Linked DNA regions of Schizosaccharomyces pombe. The protein of the gene in region 1 binds, or shares a complex with, the protein of each later gene. Each region holds a gene or a part of one and is shown in the gene's direction. Other genes may lie near its edges.

Region 1 (8,120 bases):
AAAAATTAAGGATACGAGGATCCATTGATAACTAAGATCCAGTTGTTTGCAAGTGTATTATCCTTATCATCAGAACTGTTTTTTTTTAATTGATTTTGCAAAATAAACTATCTGTAAGAAATGTAGAAATGAAAAGAATAATGAAACCGAAAAAAAAGCATACATATGACTACAGCTATCCAAAACAAAATCAAATAAAAAACAACTAATAACGAATAAAAAGAAAAGTAAATCGTTTCAACTTAAATAAAACAAGAAGAAGTAAATTGACAAAGTTTCATATAGAATGAGCCAAACATCATTTCTATTCGCAATACAATCCTCTTTCCTCTAATATCAACCTTCTTTTCATTTCTCTATAATATAACCGTCTTGTCGAGTTCTTTCTCGGTAAATACCTTAGATAGCGGATGTGGGTAGATTGGATTTGAAATCATTGCATGGCGGCAATCTTTGATTGTTTAATTTTGCGCCTTTTTTTCTAATCCCCGATAGAGTTAACATATGATGAAGGACGTCGATACAAAAACCTGGAGAAACGAGATGCGTAAACAAGTCGGGAAATCAACAATCATATCAGAAAAGTTGAAAGTCAGAATACCAAAAAAATTAGGGAAACCTAGCATGACATTGTAATTTGTTGTATGCTATTGTCATATTAAATTGTTTGGATAGTAAGTAAAATATTGTTCATCTTCATCTTCATCTTCACTTTTTTTTTTAAATTCTTGTCAACTGCGTTTTTGCCTCCCAAGTTTTATTTACTTACCTCTTCTTTCTTCAATTAGCTGGCGATTCTCGAGGCTTAAAATCGACGACTGAACCCAGCTCTCTGCCTTAGCATTTTACATTGACATCCTTTACGCAATTAATTAATTATCAGAATATATTCATCTTCCAATGTGCTTTAGTTTTTCGGAAAAATTCATATGTCAATCCTAAAGTCGTTCTTTTTTATTTTAGAGGACCTTTATAAATCTCAAACGCTTCCCAATACTACACACTTTTCTTGTTCTTCTGAATTTCCTCGATTTTTAATATTTTTCTCTTTGAACAAGCAACATGAAAGAGTATCTCCCTAATCCATACCTCAAACTTGGCATTTTGAAATGAACAAAGGATTAGATAGAGTTATACTATACTGAAATAGAGGACGTTTGCAATGTAGAGATCTGCGATGTTTACACGAGGATAGTTATACAATGACTGTGAATGTGTGCGACAAGCAAATCATTGTACTGCAGAAACAAGAATTTGTGTCAAAATTTTTAACTCGTTCATGAATTAAATTCAAAAAGAAAGTAGACTTACTGTTTGCCAAGCAATATGAGGCAAAACTCTTATCCCGTTTGCTGACAACAATACGATAAACATGTTAATTCGCGAGTTGGCAAGGCATTGATATGTCTACATCATTAATGATTTTAGGAAAACATATAATGTCTTTTTGCTTTAATTTCAAATTAAACGAAATTAATGTTTTTATTTACTAAAACGCGAGTTAACAAGAAAGTCATTGCAAATTAGTGTCAGCAATACTACCCTGCGTTAAAATACATTACGTTGTGTATCAGCATGTTTCCTTATGTTAATATAGTTTTAAGACCCGTTTAAATACTGATAATCGCGGATAACTGTTCATCTAGAATGTTTGTGGTTTAATAAATTAGGATGAAATATAAATAGAGCCAAATTGAACTCAGGAACGACATTCACTTATAAGCTAGTTTAGTGATGGGTAACGATTTAACCCATATATCAATACATAAAATTAATTGCTACTCATGATATCTGTATACTATAATTAATAAACCACAACGAAATTTACCGTACTACTACACGTAGCGCAAAGTTTTAATTGCGTAGTTTGACCTAAAGCTAAAAATTTGCGAACTAACTTATGGTGGCATATTCTATTATATAAAAAAGTATCACTTTAAATGTGTTTGCTTAACACCTATAGATCGTGATGCCAGACAGCATGTGAATGAAGAAACCTCTATTCATCGTGTGAAATGAATTTTGTAAATAAAGTCCAATCACATGCTAACTTTACTATTTGAATTACAAAGATGCTTTTTACACGAAACTTGTTTACGAGGATGTCCAAATAAAAAAGCATTCCTGTGATTGTGATTTACCCCAAACAAGCTATAAAATTCGTTCAGGGTAAATTGCGCTGTATTTTTATTGCATTCTTATATTATCATACAAGTTGTTGACTTCGAAAACACTTCCCTGCTTTCTAAAAAAATTTTTATTTGGATTTTGATTGATAGCTTTTCTTAGAATATTAAATTTTTTCGTCAAAGCAAAGACTTTCATGCAAGAAACAGTGATAATTAGTCTGTGTGCCTTGTAAACAAATGAAATCAGTTCAGGCTCGTTATATTCATGATCACTGTTTAAATGTTGCTGAGAAATCACATCCAATATGAAGACTCTTTTCTAATAAAAAGCTTGTTCATTTCCTTTTTTTTGTATTAACTCAACCAGTACTTAATTGTTTACAAACTCAACGAAGATTTGACAAGAGCGTTATAATGCGATACACAACGCTGCACTTAACAACCATCTTATGAAGACTGTGGGGTACGCCGTGTGTTCCATTATATCTGGGATGGGTTCTTTACAAACATAATAAACTGCTTAATCATACTTGGATCATGTTATTACTTATACAGCCAAGATTGAAATGCGAACACTGTAACATGTATAAGTATTTTATTGGAACAGTTAACTGGGTTAGTTAAATAAGAGTTTGCAGTTTGCATTAAAATGAATAGTGTAGTAGAATTTTAATTCATTGAGTAAAATTCCGCATTGTGACGCAACTTCGTTAACTAGTAAAACGGTGGCTTAAAAAACTGTATAGTGTTATTTTAAACGAATTAACGAGTCCAATTCATATCATCTCATGTGACACAACTAAGGATGTATACTATGGCTTTGCCTTCTACCAAATTATATATTTATCTCACACTCTGAAATTTAAGCCTTGCTATTAAGGAAAAAAAGATTTTATCAATAAACTTTCAATATTGGATTTGCCAAGCGAATAGCTGATAATGCAACCGCAGGAGGTTGATTTAATGGAGAACTCAACCATGCGAAATGGAGCAAGAGTTTTACCACCAGAAGCCATATCCAAGCGCCATATCGGCCCTTATATTATAAGGGAAACCCTTGGTGAAGGTTCTTTTGGCAAAGTCAAGCGTAAGATTGCTAATATTTAATATCATGAGAATAGAGACTAACGTACTTGTAGTCGCTACTCATTACAAAACGCAACAGAAAGTTGCTCTCAAGTTTATCTCCCGTCAATTGCTAAAGAAAAGCGATATGCATATGCGTGTGGAGCGTGAAATTTCATACTTGAAGCTTTTGCGACATCCTCATATTATTAAATTGTATGATGTGATAACCACGCCCACAGATATCGTTATGGTAATTGAATATGCAGGTGGTGAATTGTTTGATTATATTGTAGAAAAGAAAAGGGTAAGTGGTGCGGTTTGCGAGTTTTTGTTACAGTAAATTTCAGAAGTGATGTTGGATTGGTTTGATTTGTCAAAATGTACAAGTTATCCGATTGTCTTTTTTAAAAATAGAAAAAGATAAATTGTTTTTGCATCTGAAATGTTGCTGATGAAGGCTTGTTTACAAATTTGAATGCACGAATTTATGTATTTGCTGACTGTTTTTAAAGATGACTGAAGATGAGGGTCGTCGTTTTTTTCAACAAATTATATGTGCAATTGAGTACTGTCACCGTCACAAAATTGTACATCGCGATCTTAAACCCGAAAATTTGTTGTTGGATGACAATCTCAACGTAAAGATTGCTGATTTCGGTTTATCAAATATTATGACAGACGGTAATTTCCTAAAAACGTCCTGTGGCAGTCCAAATTATGCAGCCCCGGAAGTTATCAACGGGAAATTGTATGCTGGTCCAGAAGTCGATGTTTGGAGTTGCGGCATTGTTCTCTATGTGATGTTGGTGGGTCGTCTTCCTTTCGACGATGAATTTATCCCCAATTTGTTTAAAAAAGTTAACAGTATGTTTGGCCACTTTTTTTTCTACTTATCTCTTGCTAAACGTATTTAGGTTGTGTTTATGTTATGCCTGATTTTCTTTCTCCCGGAGCACAATCTTTAATTCGCCGAATGATTGTTGCAGATCCAATGCAGAGGATAACAATTCAGGAAATACGTCGGGACCCTTGGTTCAACGTTAATTTACCCGATTATTTACGTCCTATGGAGGAGGTCCAAGGCTCTTATGCTGATTCACGAATTGTCAGCAAGCTTGGTGAGGCAATGGGGTTCTCGGAGGATTACATTGTCGAAGCTTTACGTTCAGATGAAAATAATGAAGTAAAAGAGGCTTATAACTTGCTACATGAAAATCAAGTAATCCAAGAAAAGAGTCATCTCTCCAAATCAAAACGAGTCGATTCTTTTCTATCTGTATCTCCACCCGCATTTTCAGAATATACTTCTGAATTGCAAAAGAAGTCAAAACAGGAGCTTATCGATCCTACTTTAGAAGGACCGCGTTGGACAGTCTCCGACCCTCCAACATATGCTAAACAAACAATTGACAGTAACATATGTGTCCTTGTGCCTACGGCAGAAAAAAATAAACTTGAAATGAGGACTCTTGCCGATGCTGCTAGTGCTGTGGATACGAGCCAATCCACTCGCAAAAAGAGTCGCCGTAACAAATGGCATTTTGGTGTTCGCTGCCGGGGCGATGCACCTGAAATTTTGTTGGCTGTGTATCGAGCTTTACAACGTGCAGGAGCTCAGTTTACCGTTCCAAAACCAGTAAATGGAAAATATCGATCAGACATGTATACCATTAAAAGTCGTTGGGAAATTCCTCATTGTAAAAGGGAAGGAAAAAATACTTATGCTTATATTGAGTTACAACTTTATGAAGTTATGCCCGGGTGTTTTATGCTAGATGTGAAATCTAATGGTTACAAAGATATTTATTCTCATCCTGAACGAACAGCTGATCATGGCATGGATGATCTTAAGTCATCTTTCCCATTTTTAGATTTGTGTGCTATGCTGGTGTGCAAGTTATTTTCTGCATGATTTATTGTAACTCCCCATTTAACACGCTGTTTTCAAGCATCCCTTAATTACCCATTGTTGAACAAATCTACTCAATAGCAAAGACACATTTTATTTTTTTTACCTTTTCTTTTAGCGAATAAGGTTGCATGAAGATACTAGTGTCCGGATTAATTACCGCCATTTTCTGTTGAAACATTTATGAATTGATGAATTTAGTGCCATTGTATTATCAACGGTTTACAGAAGATTTTGGTTTCACTCGTTAAGTATTTATCTTGTTATAACCATAATACATTTGTTGATATGAAATAATCGAATGACTGAATGTTAGGAGTTTATTGAGTCCTTTTACTTTTCATGCGGGTTTTCTCTGATAACTGAAATTTCCCATTTATCTATATGCATGACGATGTTGATTATATATGCTCACCTTTCTTTTAATAATAAAGAAAACCGTTAAGAAAAAAAAAATTTATACGTTTATGTTAATGTAAACGAGAATCAAATCAAAGACTAGTTAATATGCAATTTTTTTTTGCAATTTAAGAACGACTTGCAGCTGCGACATCGAGGAACTAGTCCATAAAGAGTATTATTTTCCTTTATCTTTACTTTAATTCAAATACAAACCAATTCTATTTAAAATACTATGCTAGCTTGTTTGTAATTAGTTGAACTTTATGAAGAAAGCAATTCCCCCCCCCCCCTTTTTTTTTTAAAAAAAAAATTGTTAAAACATCTGTACATCAAATTTTGCAAATTTCTTTTCATAAAGAATGTCAATAGAAATGTCAACTTTAGTGTGATAAAGAAAAAAGCTAATAAAGAAAGTTATAGACACAAAATGTGAATTATGAAACGAGAACAAATGATTGGTATTCTTAATTTTTGTATGTCTCAATATTTAAATTATTTGAAAATCCTACTATATATTCCTCAAAATTTGTAGAAGGTATTTTCATTCATTTTGTCTAAAGGATTCATACATTCCACAGTTAGTATATAGATTAATTTGTTCCATTCTGCAAAAAATAAATAAAAATACTCCGTTCATAGAACTGGTGCACAGCTTACTCTCAAAAAAAAAAAACAATGTATAAATTATGTTTACTATCTAATAACAGACGTTAATATGAAGACCGGTTAATGTATGAGGAAAAAGAGATGGGTTCAAAATCACAAGAGAATGAAGAAAAAAATAAGAGTATAATATCCTTTTATTCTTAATTTTTTCTAACGGAATTCGTGAAAAGATTGATCCGATCTAAAAACGGTGAATCATTTTGTTTACAGCTGGAAAGCCATTTGGCATACCAAGTCCCACACGCCAAAAATGCTTCTTAAGTCTTCTATTATTGTCAATATAATTAAAAAATTAAAAATCTACTAAAATTATATTTTTTTATTTAGTTTTAACTATTAATATACACGATGGTGTAGCGAAGGGTTTAGAGAACTCCAACGAATTTCACAAAGTTGCATGTTCAGTTTCCTTACTTGAATAGTAGTCGACGTTGATCCTTTCTCAGCGTATATCCTCAGGAAACGATTAAATCGGCACAGTGCGAATTTCTGAAAGGTTCAATTTATTCGGAGTATTACTTTGAACCTCTTTGATATTTAATTAATGGATAATTGGAATTCCGTGCGAAATGTGTCGAGTGATAGACAAACAAGTAAAACGTCAGAAAATCCTCCACATACTTCCAATGAGTATAGTGGAAAACCGGAATTTATTAATCTGAGTCCTGATTTAGAAGAAAACTTAGATGAAAAGTTAATGAGTGCTTTCCCTGGTATGCAGGCTATTAAAGCGGGGATAGAGAGTTGGTCAATAATTTGAAATATTTGCCTCTACGGGCTGTAGCGAGTGATGTCTTGATTGCTTGTTCTCTCTTTTTTCTCTGCTATTTTTGATCCTTTCTCTTAGAATTCTACTAATTGTTGCCCTTAGGCTTAGAACCTCATGTGTTTCAACACTCCCAGTCACCTCTGTCACATAAAGATGCTTCATTGTTAGCTACAATGCCTTCAGGTATATTTTCTTTTGTTTATTCATTCTTTTTATTTTTATCTCTACTATACTGAGTTTTCCTATGTTCTCAATTTTTCTTTTTCTTTTTTGATTCGTTCAATTTGCTAATATTTATCTTAGTTGCCTCATCCAATCCATCACTCATATCTTCTGGATCTTCGCAAACTGGCTCCCCATCACAATCCTTGTCCTCTAATAAGGAACCAAGTTCTCCTGGCATTTCTCCTTCCAATGACTCTCAATCACAAAATACTAATCATACCTCTATCTCAGCCAATCCATATGTTAATAATCCAAGTCATACTTCAAGGAATCCGGATTCAGGATCTTCGTAAGTTTATTTTGCCTTAAAAATTTATTTATGACTAACGAAGCGCCTTAGTTTAAATACCGCCTCCCATGAAGTACCATCATCAAAATCAGACGTGAACGTTCAAATGCTTGCACGATTAAAATCTAAATCTCGTCAAAAAATTTCTTCCTCTGATCCGTTAGAAGATTTGCGCCTTACTCTGACTGAGTGTTTAAACCCAATTAACATCGTCCAAGCTCCAAAAGAATGTGCTGCAATCCTTGTTAATCTCATGAGCAATATCACCCAAGATGATCAAAAATTAGTTTTTCTAGATCTTCTTAAAAGCAAAGTGGGGAATAGTATTTATAGCCAACTTGTTGACGGCGGTCGTAAATTGTTCCTTCCTAAACTACGTAACTGGTTTGTATCAGCTATTCGTTCTAAACACGACGAACTCATTCATTTAATACTGCTCGTGCTAGCTAATCTTCCTCTTACGACTGAGAAGCTAGCTGAGGTTAAGTTTGGCAAACCAATTTTAATCGTAAAAAAAAAGTCTACCAATTCCGTTATACGCCAGCTTGCTGAAAATCTTTCTGAACTGGCCGAGAAAAGTTTTACTATTGAACAAAATAGAGAAAATGAGAAGAGCTCTACGAAGAACGATTCGACTGTTTCATCTTCCGCAGTCGTTATGGC
Region 2 (5,426 bases), on another chromosome or scaffold:
TCCTCAATATCGGAGTTATTTCCGGCGATCTAATCGACGTGATAACTGGAGAAAGTTATCATATCTTATCATTTGTAATTCTAAAAGTAAAATCGATCAACTCATAAAATAACATTTCACTTTGCTGCACTGTAGATTTTTCTTATCAAATCTATTGGTGTACTAAACAGACTAGCTAACGTTTGCTGATCCGATCGACTATAGCAGCACACTCACTCTCTATACCATAAGACGTTGCCGAACCGACATCTATCGTCATTCAAATAATCTTTGGATTTGGTAATTTTAGTCGTTTACATACGCTACTTAGTATTTTTTTGGATTTTACGCTTTTCTACTAAAGTATACGAAAATTAGACTACCTTTCGTGAACAATATAATTGACCAAATCTTAGAGCTGAAATTTTTTGAGAAATATGTCTTATATGCATTCTTTAAACCTGATGCTGCAAAATCCCAGCGGAATTGACAAAATTGCTGCCATTCTTGTCAACGTTGCGAGGTTGGATCCAGCATCTTCGAAATCAACTGCTCAACTGGTTTCTATGCTAAATGAATTTCGATGTATTTTACGTCTTCCTGGTCTCTACAAATTAATCGTAAATTTTCGTAAAGATTCTTCTCCTGAAACTTACATGAGTAACGCAATCAATATTGGATACTATGTCACAGAAGGATTGGCATTCTTAGGCGGCAAACAGATTATTTCCATATCAAAACCGTTGGAAGACAAATTATGGCTTTGGTCTTCTAGATTTTGGCTTCTCGATACTTTATTGACCATTTACCAGCTTTTGCGTGAAAAAACAGAAGACGAAAAGGAGCATCAGTTAGACTTAGCTTCAAACTTGGCTAGCCTTCCTTTGTGTATTCACTGGTCTGTAGAAAATGGAGCTGGTTTACACAAACACCAAATTGGAGTTCTTGGTCTTTTCAGCGCAATTGTACAAACTAGAAAACTAATCCTCTCTTTGCACAATAAAAGAGCTTAGTTACGAATGAGCTTTTTAAATTTAAATAGAAGTTACTTTTTTCATGTAATTCTATTCGTGCTCAACTATTTTTCGTTTTCTCGAATGTCTATGTGAGTAAAGTAGTAAACAAAAGTGGTAACAGTCGTCTTGGTTTTTTCAGCAAAAATCGAAATATGCCATTCTAAATGAAGGGACTGAATCGGTTTAAAGCTTGAAAGGTTTTAGAAATGAAGTCGATTTTAATCGTTAATCCATTCCATTAAAGCGTTTTAAATTTTGGGATATTGATCGAAAATTTAATCAACGGAAAACATTAAGTTACTCTTTGTTTGTCACCAAAATGTACCTTGTCATTTTTTTCTAATTGAACTGAATATCTTTATTAACGAGTGTTTTTAATGGCCCTGCAATTTCAAATTGAGGATGTACGATATCATACTTTTAAGTATATCATATATAAACGTTAAGGAATTATTATCAACTATAATGCACTACTTTTTTAGGTTTCTTCTGAAGCTCAGTACTGTTGAGAATGTTCTAATTACGACTCAAGAATTGACGGATAATAGCTCGAATAATAAATTTGAGGCGACATAAATGGTTACAAGTTGATTAAAGAACATAGAGATTAATACACATACTGTTAAATATGGTTCAATTGTTGAATTCATTTGGACTTTAATTCCAGCTTTAATCTTAATTTTACACGCATCATAATGGTTTCACTCAAAAAATCAGATTCAGTAATATAAAACAATTTACTACTGACTGAGTACAACGATATTTTCATCTAAAAAAAAATCTGAAAATATAAAGAATATTGTTATTTAAAAGAAAGGAGAACAGACTACGACAAATTGAAAAAAATGAAGGAATTGGTAAACAAAATGTATCTATCGAAAACAACGCTGTACTACGTAAAGTGAATACTGTTCGTAACCGCATTCCATACGGATGGCTAGAATCCAGTAACCCTGCCCTAAACTGTGACTGCTTTATCTCATTAAACCTGCGAGAAGTCAAATTATGAGCTACCATCTGCAATCACCATGTTGTTGTACAAGGACGTTATTTCTGGAGACGAACTCGTTTCTGACGCCTACGACTTGAAGGAGGTAGACGATATTGTCTACGAGGCTGATTGCCAAATGGTCACTGTCAAGCAAGGTGGTGATGTTGACATTGGTGCCAACCCTTCTGCCGAGGATGCTGAGGAGAATGCTGAAGAGGGTACTGAGACTGTAAACAATCTTGTTTACTCTTTCCGTTTAAGCCCTACTTCTTTTGACAAGAAGTCCTATATGTCTTACATCAAGGGTTACATGAAGGCTATCAAGGCTCGTCTTCAAGAAAGCAACCCCGAGCGTGTTCCTGTTTTCGAGAAGAATGCCATTGGATTCGTCAAGAAGATTTTGGCTAACTTCAAGGACTACGACTTTTACATTGGTGAGAGCATGGATCCCGACGCAATGGTTGTCTTAATGAACTACCGTGAGGATGGTATTACTCCCTACATGATCTTCTTCAAGGACGGTCTTGTTTCTGAGAAGTTCTAAATGCAAATTTGGGTTCTTATAAGGGAGTTTCTAACTGGGAACATGATATCATGTCTAAATTTTATAGTTTTGTGAATTAGTTTTCACAAAATTTCATTAGGATTAGAACAGGGGTTTTTGTTCTGATAATAATTAATTATGCTAGCTTATAATCATGTTCAAATTGAAATTAGTGTTTTTTTATCGATTTTGTATTTGGTTGAATGGAAGATTGAGGTATCGATGTTTTAAAACGTGTGTGCTAAAATTCATGAATCTATTTATATATTAACAGGCCGAAATAATTTAGTAAGTAAGGATATGGTTTGAAATTTGGTATTTTACCATTAATTTAGTGTATTTTTTTGCTTTTTATCGAAGTTGATAATTCAAGTCCTTTACGAGGAATAGCCAAACTTTTGTTATGGCGACACTAGACGACCCGGTAGCCATTGAAACTTTGTTACAGTCGAAACTATAGTTTACTGTTAGTACTAAAGATTTGGGAAATTTTTGCTCGACGATGTTATTTTTGTAGCGGACGACTATTGGATTAAATTTATGCTTAATTGTTAAGCCTTTTAATCAATCTTATCATTGAGTTAATAGACTAGTTGCATTTAATTTTGTCAATGTATATTGTTACGTTTAAATAGTAAACTATATAAGCAGTTTAAATCAACGAGTTTAGCTACAATATTCCCCTAAGTGAAATATATCATTTAAAAGCACTAACAAATACGCATAATTTAGGCATTGTACTATTTGCAACTAATTACTTAACACCTCGATTTGTTGCCCTTGTGCGGGTTACCATTCCCCTCGCTCATTTATCTAGTCTCTTTTACCAACCACACCATATATCCTTTGACGAGGTCATGACAGACGTTCAAGAGACCCAAAAAGGAGCACTCGTAAGTGATATGGAATAGATTTTTTATTAAATAGAAATAATTATTAATCTATGTGATGTACAGAAAGAAATTCAAGCATTTATACGCTCGCGTACAAGTTACGATGTTTTGCCTACGTCCTTCCGTTTAATCGTGTTCGATGTTACGCTTTTTGTAAAAACATCACTTTCTCTTCTTACATTAAACAGTACGAAAGATTTTTCATTACAGATGTGAAATCAACTTATTAATCACGTCTTAGATATCGTCAGTGCTCCTTTATGGGACAGTGAAGCGAATAAGTTTGCGGGCCTTTTAACGATGGCGGATTTCGTCAATGTTATTAAGTATTATTACCAAAGCTCTTCATTTCCCGAGGCTATAGCTGAGATTGACAAATTTCGATTGTTGGGACTTCGTGAAGTGGAAAGAAAGATTGGCGCCATTCCTCCGGAAACTATATATGTTCATCCAATGCATAGTCTTATGGATGCTTGCTTAGCCATGTCAAAGAGCCGTGCTAGAAGAATTCCTTTAATTGACGTAGATGGCGAGACAGGCAGCGAAATGATTGTATCTGTTTTGACACAATATCGAATTTTGAAATTTATCTCCATGAATGTTCGTAAATCGTGTTATGTTTTTATATTTACTAATTTCAAATTTAGTGCAAAGAAACCGCAATGCTACGGGTACCATTAAACCAAATGACAATTGGGACATGGTCAAATTTAGCTACCGCGTCTATGGAAACGAAAGTCTATGATGTTATTAAAATGCTTGCCGAAAAGAATATATCTGCCGTCCCAATCGTTAATTCTGAAGGTTTGTGAGATGTTTTGAATTTTTTCTGTGAATAATTTATATATTAACTGAGCAGGTACCCTGCTAAATGTCTATGAATCGGTGGATGTAATGCATCTTATACAAGATGGTGATTATAGTAATTTAGACTTGAGCGTAGGCGAGGCTTTATTGAAAAGACCAGCTAACTTTGATGGCGTCCACACTTGTCGAGCTACTGATCGTTTGGATGGTATTTTTGATGCTATTAAGCATTCCAGGGTTCATCGTCTTTTCGTGGTTGATGAAAACTTGAAGCTCGAAGGTATTTTATCTTTGGCTGATATTTTAAATTACATAATATACGATAAAACGACTACGCCCGGCGTTCCCGAACAAACTGATAATTTTGAATCTGCCGTATAATTTGATTCTCGTGCGCTTCAGCCTGAATGCATTCATAATCTGTTGAAAACATTGCCAAGTCTCATGATATTTGAAGTTAAACCGTTGAGTTGTTTCTTTTTTTTTGCATGGCAGCTCGAGGTGGTATCTAATTCAGTGTACTCGAATGAGGCTTCTTTTATTTCAAAAAGTATTAATTCGGTTATTACAACTTCTGTCTATATAATATGATGTGACTTGTACCATTATGCTAATGCCTATCTAATTAAATAACTAACACATGCCTTTCATTAGCTACTAAGTTCGCATTTTTCTAGGAATGCATCAATTAACCGATCGTAAGTGTAATTTTCTTGTAAATATTCTTTCATATATGCATATTGTTCAGGTATGAGTATTAAAAGCTGCGTTGGCAGTAGATTACAATAATTTAATGTTCTTCGCATTCCATGCTACCAATAATTATGGAAGATGTACGAGTTAAATGACAGATCAATTGTGTGCAAGAAACTTCACACTCGCCGAGCATATGAAGTAGTTATTTACAACTAAGAAAGCTAACCTTTTCCGTAATGATAAGAGAGGGACGCATATCTAATCAACACACTACAAACTCATCTATATGTTAAAAATTTTCTTGAGTTCAGCAATGGTATCGTCAGGATTAGTAACAGAATGTCCGATAGTACGAGGGTCGACAAAAATTTCATAATCATTGCCGCCTTTGTATGTCTTGTCTCCAAAAAAGTGAATTGTATCAAATCCCTCTTTCTCTACGTGTTGCAAGCAATATGTCTTATCCCAACCAGCAGGGAACACATCAAAAGAGATTTGAC
Region 3 (5,337 bases), 280 kb from region 1:
AGTCTCTAGCCGTTTACCCAAAACTTACTACAACGAATATGCTGCTAGATTTGCAGGAAACCAATCAAAGGTCCAAACTCCAGAAATTTTCTTGTTCTCGTATATATCTAACAGGATCAAAAAACAAGTTATTCATTTAGAAGAGTCAGGATATCCACTTGCAAACATAAATATGCGTTTTGTCAGTGATCTGTTCATTCAAGAAGGTATCAAAAGAAAAAATCGGATTAAGAAGAAAGAGCATTAGTAAATTAAGCAAAATCAAAAAAGAATCCAGCAAAACATCGAGAAGGAAAGTCTTTTTTTTTAACTCATTAAAAACATAACATATTAGTAAATGGCAATTTGCAACACGGATAACTGCCTTTTTAATAGATAATAATTGTGATTTCAAAACAACAAATGAATCGAAATCAAGAGGAGATAATTCATTCTTTTAATTTCCTTTTCAGGAATTTTTAATAGATCCCATTGATTTGTTAGGGCGATGCCTCCGTCGTTTCACAGATGAAGGAACCGGAATCTCAGCAACAATTCTGGTCTCAACAGGAGGTATCTTAAGTTCTGTGCTAGATTTTCTAGAGGAAGATGAGGAATGACTAATGGAATCGAGAGATTTCGTCTTTTCGAGAGCAATTGGTTGACGTTCTTCGTCAAGTTTTTCGGAATCCTTCGAAGGAATTCGAGAAGCCAAATCACCCAACATAATATTTCTATCTTTGTAAGGATATTCTAAAACTTTTTCATTTTTCATCTTTGTCATGGCTTCCGTAACAGTGGAATTGGACGATGGCGTTGCAAAAGAATCAATGAAAGTAAAAACGGAATTCAAACTGAACCCTACAATGATTCCAAGAAATACAGCCCATGATAGCAAAACATACAATGGATATAAAGTAATTCCGACCATTAAAATGAATCTTGCAGGCGCACGAATAAAGTACCAATACACGCTTTGAACCAAAAGAATAGCAGGATCAGCAAGGATCCATAAAAATAGGCTCACAATTCGTAAAATAAATATTACAACTGTTCTTATTGTGAGAAAACCTGGAAGTAGTACATTACCAAAGACCTTCAAGCTAACGTTCCAGGAAATGACAGCGCTCACATATAGGATGGTAGATAGAATTTTAAGGCTTCTTAATAAGTAATTGAGCACTACAGCTCTGACTACAGTCCATATAGTTTCAAAGCCCTCAATAAACGAGAGATCCATGTCTTAAACAAAAAAGTTTTAAATTAGTGCTCTTAATAATTAGCACTCTGGATGTAAGTGATCAAGGAAGGTGCCCTTTCAAGTTGTTTGCGTAATGCACTATCTTGTATACCATGTCAGCAATATGACACTACGCTATGATACACTACGTTGCGTATCACTATATGTCACATGTTCTAATTATATATCGTACCATGTATGATACGATATGGAGATTGATCTTAATGATAATCTATTAAGATCAATATTATCTGAATACTATAAATAGAGCTACTGCTGAACCTCGTTCCTCAGTTCAGTTATGAGCTATATTAGTGATAGGTAACATTATAACCCAGTTAATACAATACCTATACTCAGTTGCTACTTATACAACCTGTGTATTGTAATATAATAGATCACAAGGAAAACTCACCGTAGTTCTACGTATCCTTAAATCAGATACCAAACTGCGTAGCGTACATACCAATTCTAAATACTACTATTCCTACAATACATTAATGTCAGCTTATATAAAATACACTACGATACACTATAACATATGCTCTAATATTCTATTTGCTCTATTTACTTACAAGATAAGTTATCAAGAAGATTATAATAGTGTTCAATAATAAAAAGATGTTATTTTATTACATAGTTTTTTCAATGCTTTAAATTAAGACAAACTGAACCTCGTTCCTCAGTTCAGTTATTAGCTAAATCGGTCACCAATACTAGTAGACTTATAACAATAAATATAATATTGTTAGTGAAGCATACCCATACCGTTATCTTGTAGCCCGCAAAAGAAACTCATCGCATTTTAGTGTATCGCTAAACAAATACCAAACTACGTAGCAAACAATAAATCGCGTAGGTTATTCATTAAAAGCCTCTAGGATATGTATGGGTATAATTTGTATATTTAAACGGTCTATTTCAAATCCTTCCTCGTGTTCGTGGCTTTAAAACAGCATAAAAAGATTACCACTGAAATCAAAATTTCGTTTGAGTTAGGTGAACGGAAAGAGTACTCTAACAGCATATTCAACCATATGTACTTCAATTCATGACATTTTTGTAATGGAACATATCATATCAAAAAACAATACTTCATACTTTATTGTATCATTAAACCAATACTGAGCTGCGTACTAACAACATATAAGTTTTCACTACTTTGCTTCGTTATAGATTATAAAGTGAAGGATTCATCGCAACAAAAATTCACGTTTGGTTTGGTAAAGTCGTCATTTAACTAAAAAATAATATATTCTTCGTTTCATATGGAATGTATTTAATCAGTACGTTCATTGAAAACACTGTTCTTGTTTTTGCAATGCAGTGATTTTAGTTCGCTTATTTCGCAGCATAATAAGTAGACATGAAAAATTGACGGAAATAGAGCATTTGATATCTAGAAATTCAGGCTTTTTTTAAGTTCGTAACTTAATTTGAGTGATTTCGTCTGAGAAATAGAAGCGTCTTTTTTACGAAAGAAGTTTTTGCGCCATACTTATATATTGTTATACTAGAACGTAGTTAAAAAAGATGAAGCTATACGAGCGTAATGTACAAGGTATTCATTAATTTATAAACATATAATATGCAGGCCTTTCGGTTATGGAAGTTTAACTCAATTAAAGCCTCGCTAAGTTACAATAATTATAAGTGAACCGCTTTTAGTGTATAATTAACTTGAAGGCCTCTCAATGCACAGAGTAGTTTAAAATTTTTCTATATCGTTTCATATGTAGCTTCAATAATTTTTTAAACATTTCCATTAAGAATGAGAAGCATGCTGCTTTTTACCTTCAAAAGATTATACATAGCTGTTGTAGAACTGTATTATACGTCCCAAATGCAATATTAAATTTTTCAGCTTTTATCATACAGCTTTTAGATATTTATTCTTTATAATAAATGGATTTTCAATTAATGTTTTCTTTGATAAAGCTGCAAAACAGTACGAAGCGTTTAACTGTGAATAACGCTGCACTTTAGCTTCCACTATTTAATGATAGCTTAGATACAATAAATAACCTTATTTCATGCTCGTTGGGGTTTAGTTCAAAGTGATGAGCTACAAAGCCAGAACAAACTACTTTACATCATTTCAAAATGGGAAATGTTCAATCTCAGGAGGGTAATGTCCTTTAAGTTAAACACATGTGAAATAAGTATCTAATTTAATGTTAGGAGAGACTCGCGCACATGCTGTCCCTTCTCAAGATGCCACAACAACGCCTGACAATGCAAATAACGTTCCAAAAGAACCACGTGCCCAAAGCATGATTAGTATTGCTGCAGATGATTTGAATCAAGAAGGTGAAATGTCGGATGATAATCAGCAGGAAGGCGGTAATAATCGTACTTCCCAAAACGGAACTTCAGGATCGAGTGGTCATACGAAACGCCGTTCTCAAACTTCAGGCAAGAAGACACATCAGCCTTATTCTGGTAAGTTTCTTTAAGACCGGTTTATTTGATTGCTTGACATCCTTATGTAACAAGGGTGATTTACCGTAACATTGCATTATCATTTAAGCTGTTGACCTTAACGTTTGTTTGCAATAGTTTTCAGAAAGGAGATTTTTTGCAATTGACAATTTAATTACTTACACATATAGGTCCTTGTGTGCCAACCATTATTCGATGGAGAGGAGGCGGTGAAGTTGTTTATGTCACTGGATCGTTTTCTCGTTGGAAGAAAAAAATCCAATTACTGAAAAGGTATGAGTTTTTCATGGTGTGCTTTTTTCTATATTTGAGCCTCCCTTTATAGGTTGTTTATCCTGTTTTAAGCTTGCTAACTTTTTCGCCAAATAGCGAAGATTACACTGTCCTTTTGCAATTACGTCCTGGAACTCAGCGTTTTAAATTCTTGGTTGATGGTATATGGTGCTGTTCTTCAGATTTTCCAACTGCCACCGATGCGGAAGGCAACCTTTACAACTACCTCGAGGTGGAAGCTAATGAGAAGTTAGGCGCTAGTATTGATGAAAGATTGAGTCAAGTTCATACGGACCTTCCGATGGAGGAAAAGTCTGAATCTGAGCAATATTCTACGGAGATACCAGCTTTTCTTACTAGCAACACCCTTCAAGAGTTGAAGTTGCCAAAGCCCCCTTCTCTACCTCCTCATCTTGAGAAGTGTATCCTTAACTCAAATACTGCCTATAAGGAGGATCAGTCTGTCTTGCCAAATCCTAATCACGTCCTTTTAAACCATTTAGCAGCTGCAAATACCCAGTTAGGCGTTCTCGCTTTAAGTGCTACTACGCGCTATCATCGAAAGGTAAGTCGGTTCCTTATACGCGTTGCTTGACTAACTTTGTTTCCCCAGTATGTCACTACTGCTATGTTTAAAAATTTTGATGTCTAGCCATACCGCATCTGTCGAATTTATTGTTTATATTTCGCGACGTATATAATCACTTTAATGATAAATTTATTTTTTTAAATTTCTCAAACATCCCATCATTATACTTCATTTGATTGGTTTATTTGCACGATTTTGTTTCGAGAAAACTTTACGCTGTGATATCAAGCACAAAGCAACCAGTTCATATTTCACTATGTAGCGATCCATAGGTTAATTAATTTTTATAAATACATATCTAGTTACTTCACTTCACGATGTTATTCTCTTAATCCTTTGCGTAACGGAACCTTTTCCACAAATATAGCAATAGGTAGAAGAACGAAAAAATCGCGACTCCATTAGTCACCCATTCTACGACATGTTTATAGGATAAATCGGCTATTGGAATAGATATGCTTAAGGTTGTTGGATCGTTTTGTAAGGTATATTTGTTCTTACTGGAAAACAGAAATCTGAAATCATTTACTTTGTCTTCAGTGTCACAATTCCAGAAAAACTTGGGATTTGTTAATGATGTTTTTAAGTATGTTTGTCCTTTGAGAGGGCTTTGATAACGTGTGTGTAAGGGAATGATAGTGTCTATATAGTCTTTTTGCAACAAACCATCGTCCGTATATATGTCAAACCAGAAAAAAGACCCAGTACCATTTAATTTGTAACTAGGTGCTTCCAAGTCGGTCTCACCCCAAATTCCTAAAACATGCCCTAAATTGTCGGCATGCATTTCCGCAATATTAGATAGCTCGTACCT

Evidence for each region. Proteins that work in one complex are often made in the same cells at the same time.
Region 2: the proteins of ssp2 (region 1) and cbs2 are in contact, whole or in part, in a crystal structure (PDB 2OOX), measured with the Schizosaccharomyces pombe proteins. Residues at the interface, in NP_588376.1 of Schizosaccharomyces pombe: Arg448 (codon at 4,720), Ile503 (codon at 4,885), His505 (codon at 4,891), Cys506 (codon at 4,894), Arg508 (codon at 4,900), Lys511 (codon at 4,909), Thr513 (codon at 4,915), Tyr538 (codon at 4,990), Lys539 (codon at 4,993), Asp540 (codon at 4,996), Ser543 (codon at 5,005), His551 (codon at 5,029), Met553 (codon at 5,035), Asp554 (codon at 5,038), Leu556 (codon at 5,044), Ser558 (codon at 5,050), Phe560 (codon at 5,056), Pro561 (codon at 5,059), Asp564 (codon at 5,068); in NP_001342925.1 of Schizosaccharomyces pombe: Leu52 (codon at 3,604), Trp61 (codon at 3,685), Ser63 (codon at 3,691), Glu64 (codon at 3,694), Ala65 (codon at 3,697), Asn66 (codon at 3,700), Asp147 (codon at 3,943), Val148 (codon at 3,946), Asp149 (codon at 3,949), Glu151 (codon at 3,955), Thr152 (codon at 3,958), Ser154 (codon at 3,964), Met156 (codon at 3,970).
Region 3: the proteins of ssp2 (region 1) and amk2 are in contact, whole or in part, in a crystal structure (PDB 2OOX), measured with the Schizosaccharomyces pombe proteins. Residues at the interface, in NP_588376.1 of Schizosaccharomyces pombe: Asn450 (codon at 4,726), Lys451 (codon at 4,729), Trp452 (codon at 4,732), His453 (codon at 4,735), Phe454 (codon at 4,738), Gly455 (codon at 4,741), Val456 (codon at 4,744), Asp461 (codon at 4,759), Ala462 (codon at 4,762), Pro463 (codon at 4,765), Glu464 (codon at 4,768), Leu466 (codon at 4,774), Leu467 (codon at 4,777), Tyr470 (codon at 4,786), Arg471 (codon at 4,789), Gln474 (codon at 4,798), Gln479 (codon at 4,813), Phe480 (codon at 4,816), Thr481 (codon at 4,819), Val482 (codon at 4,822), Pro483 (codon at 4,825), Lys484 (codon at 4,828), Tyr490 (codon at 4,846), Arg491 (codon at 4,849), Ser492 (codon at 4,852), Met494 (codon at 4,858), Tyr495 (codon at 4,861), Lys498 (codon at 4,870), Ser499 (codon at 4,873), Arg500 (codon at 4,876); in NP_588485.1 of Schizosaccharomyces pombe: Ser205 (codon at 4,254), Glu206 (codon at 4,257), Gln207 (codon at 4,260), Tyr208 (codon at 4,263), Ser209 (codon at 4,266), Thr210 (codon at 4,269), Glu211 (codon at 4,272), Ile212 (codon at 4,275), Pro213 (codon at 4,278), Phe215 (codon at 4,284), Leu216 (codon at 4,287), Thr217 (codon at 4,290), Leu221 (codon at 4,302), Lys225 (codon at 4,314), Leu226 (codon at 4,317), Pro227 (codon at 4,320), Lys228 (codon at 4,323), Pro229 (codon at 4,326), Pro230 (codon at 4,329), Ser231 (codon at 4,332), Leu232 (codon at 4,335), Pro233 (codon at 4,338), His235 (codon at 4,344), Leu236 (codon at 4,347), Lys238 (codon at 4,353), Cys239 (codon at 4,356), Leu241 (codon at 4,362), Asn242 (codon at 4,365), Leu261 (codon at 4,422), Asn263 (codon at 4,428).

Annotation. Positions count from the first base shown.
Region 1 is NC_003421.2:1,926,806-1,934,925, reverse strand, and holds ssp2 (serine/threonine protein kinase AMPK catalytic (alpha) subunit Ssp2), read left to right. Parts: upstream 1-2,951; 5' UTR 2,952-3,068; coding exon 3,069-3,216; intron 3,217-3,268; coding exon 3,269-3,501; intron 3,502-3,709; coding exon 3,710-4,061; intron 4,062-4,111; coding exon 4,112-5,109; 3' UTR 5,110-5,736; downstream 5,737-8,120. Other genes in the region: ppn1 (cleavage and polyadenylation specificity factor complex-associated protein), read left to right, coding at 6,719-6,887, 7,046-7,126, 7,247-7,457, 7,509-8,120. UniProt on the Schizosaccharomyces pombe protein: Serine/threonine protein kinase essential for release from glucose repression via the phosphorylation of scr1 upon glucose deprivation.
Region 2 is NC_003424.3:3,806,632-3,812,057, reverse strand, and holds cbs2 (protein kinase activator), read left to right. Parts: upstream 1-3,355; 5' UTR 3,356-3,387; coding exon 3,388-3,423; intron 3,424-3,486; coding exon 3,487-3,610; exon of another isoform or gene 3,611-3,664; coding exon 3,665-4,023; intron 4,024-4,070; coding exon 4,071-4,227; intron 4,228-4,282; coding exon 4,283-4,611; 3' UTR 4,612-4,926; downstream 4,927-5,426. Other genes in the region: SPOM_SPAC1F12.04C (uncharacterized protein), read left to right, coding at 417-992; tma19 (translationally-controlled tumor protein), read left to right, coding at 2,024-2,530; phosphomannomutase Pmm1, read right to left, coding at 5,209-5,426.
Region 3 is NC_003421.2:2,206,985-2,212,321, reverse strand, and holds amk2 (serine/threonine protein kinase AMPK (beta) regulatory subunit Amk2), read left to right. Parts: upstream 1-3,294; 5' UTR 3,295-3,322; coding exon 3,323-3,347; exon of another isoform or gene 3,348-3,400; coding exon 3,401-3,661; exon of another isoform or gene 3,662-3,831; coding exon 3,832-3,934; intron 3,935-4,030; coding exon 4,031-4,499; intron 4,500-4,547; coding exon 4,548-4,586; 3' UTR 4,587-4,837; downstream 4,838-5,337. Other genes in the region: SPOM_SPCC1919.04 (uncharacterized protein), read right to left, coding at 449-1,219; pbn1 (GPI synthesis protein pig-X), read right to left, coding at 4,852-5,337. UniProt on the Schizosaccharomyces pombe protein: Beta subunit of AMP-activated protein kinase (AMPK), which is required for transcriptional, metabolic, and developmental adaptations in response to glucose limitation.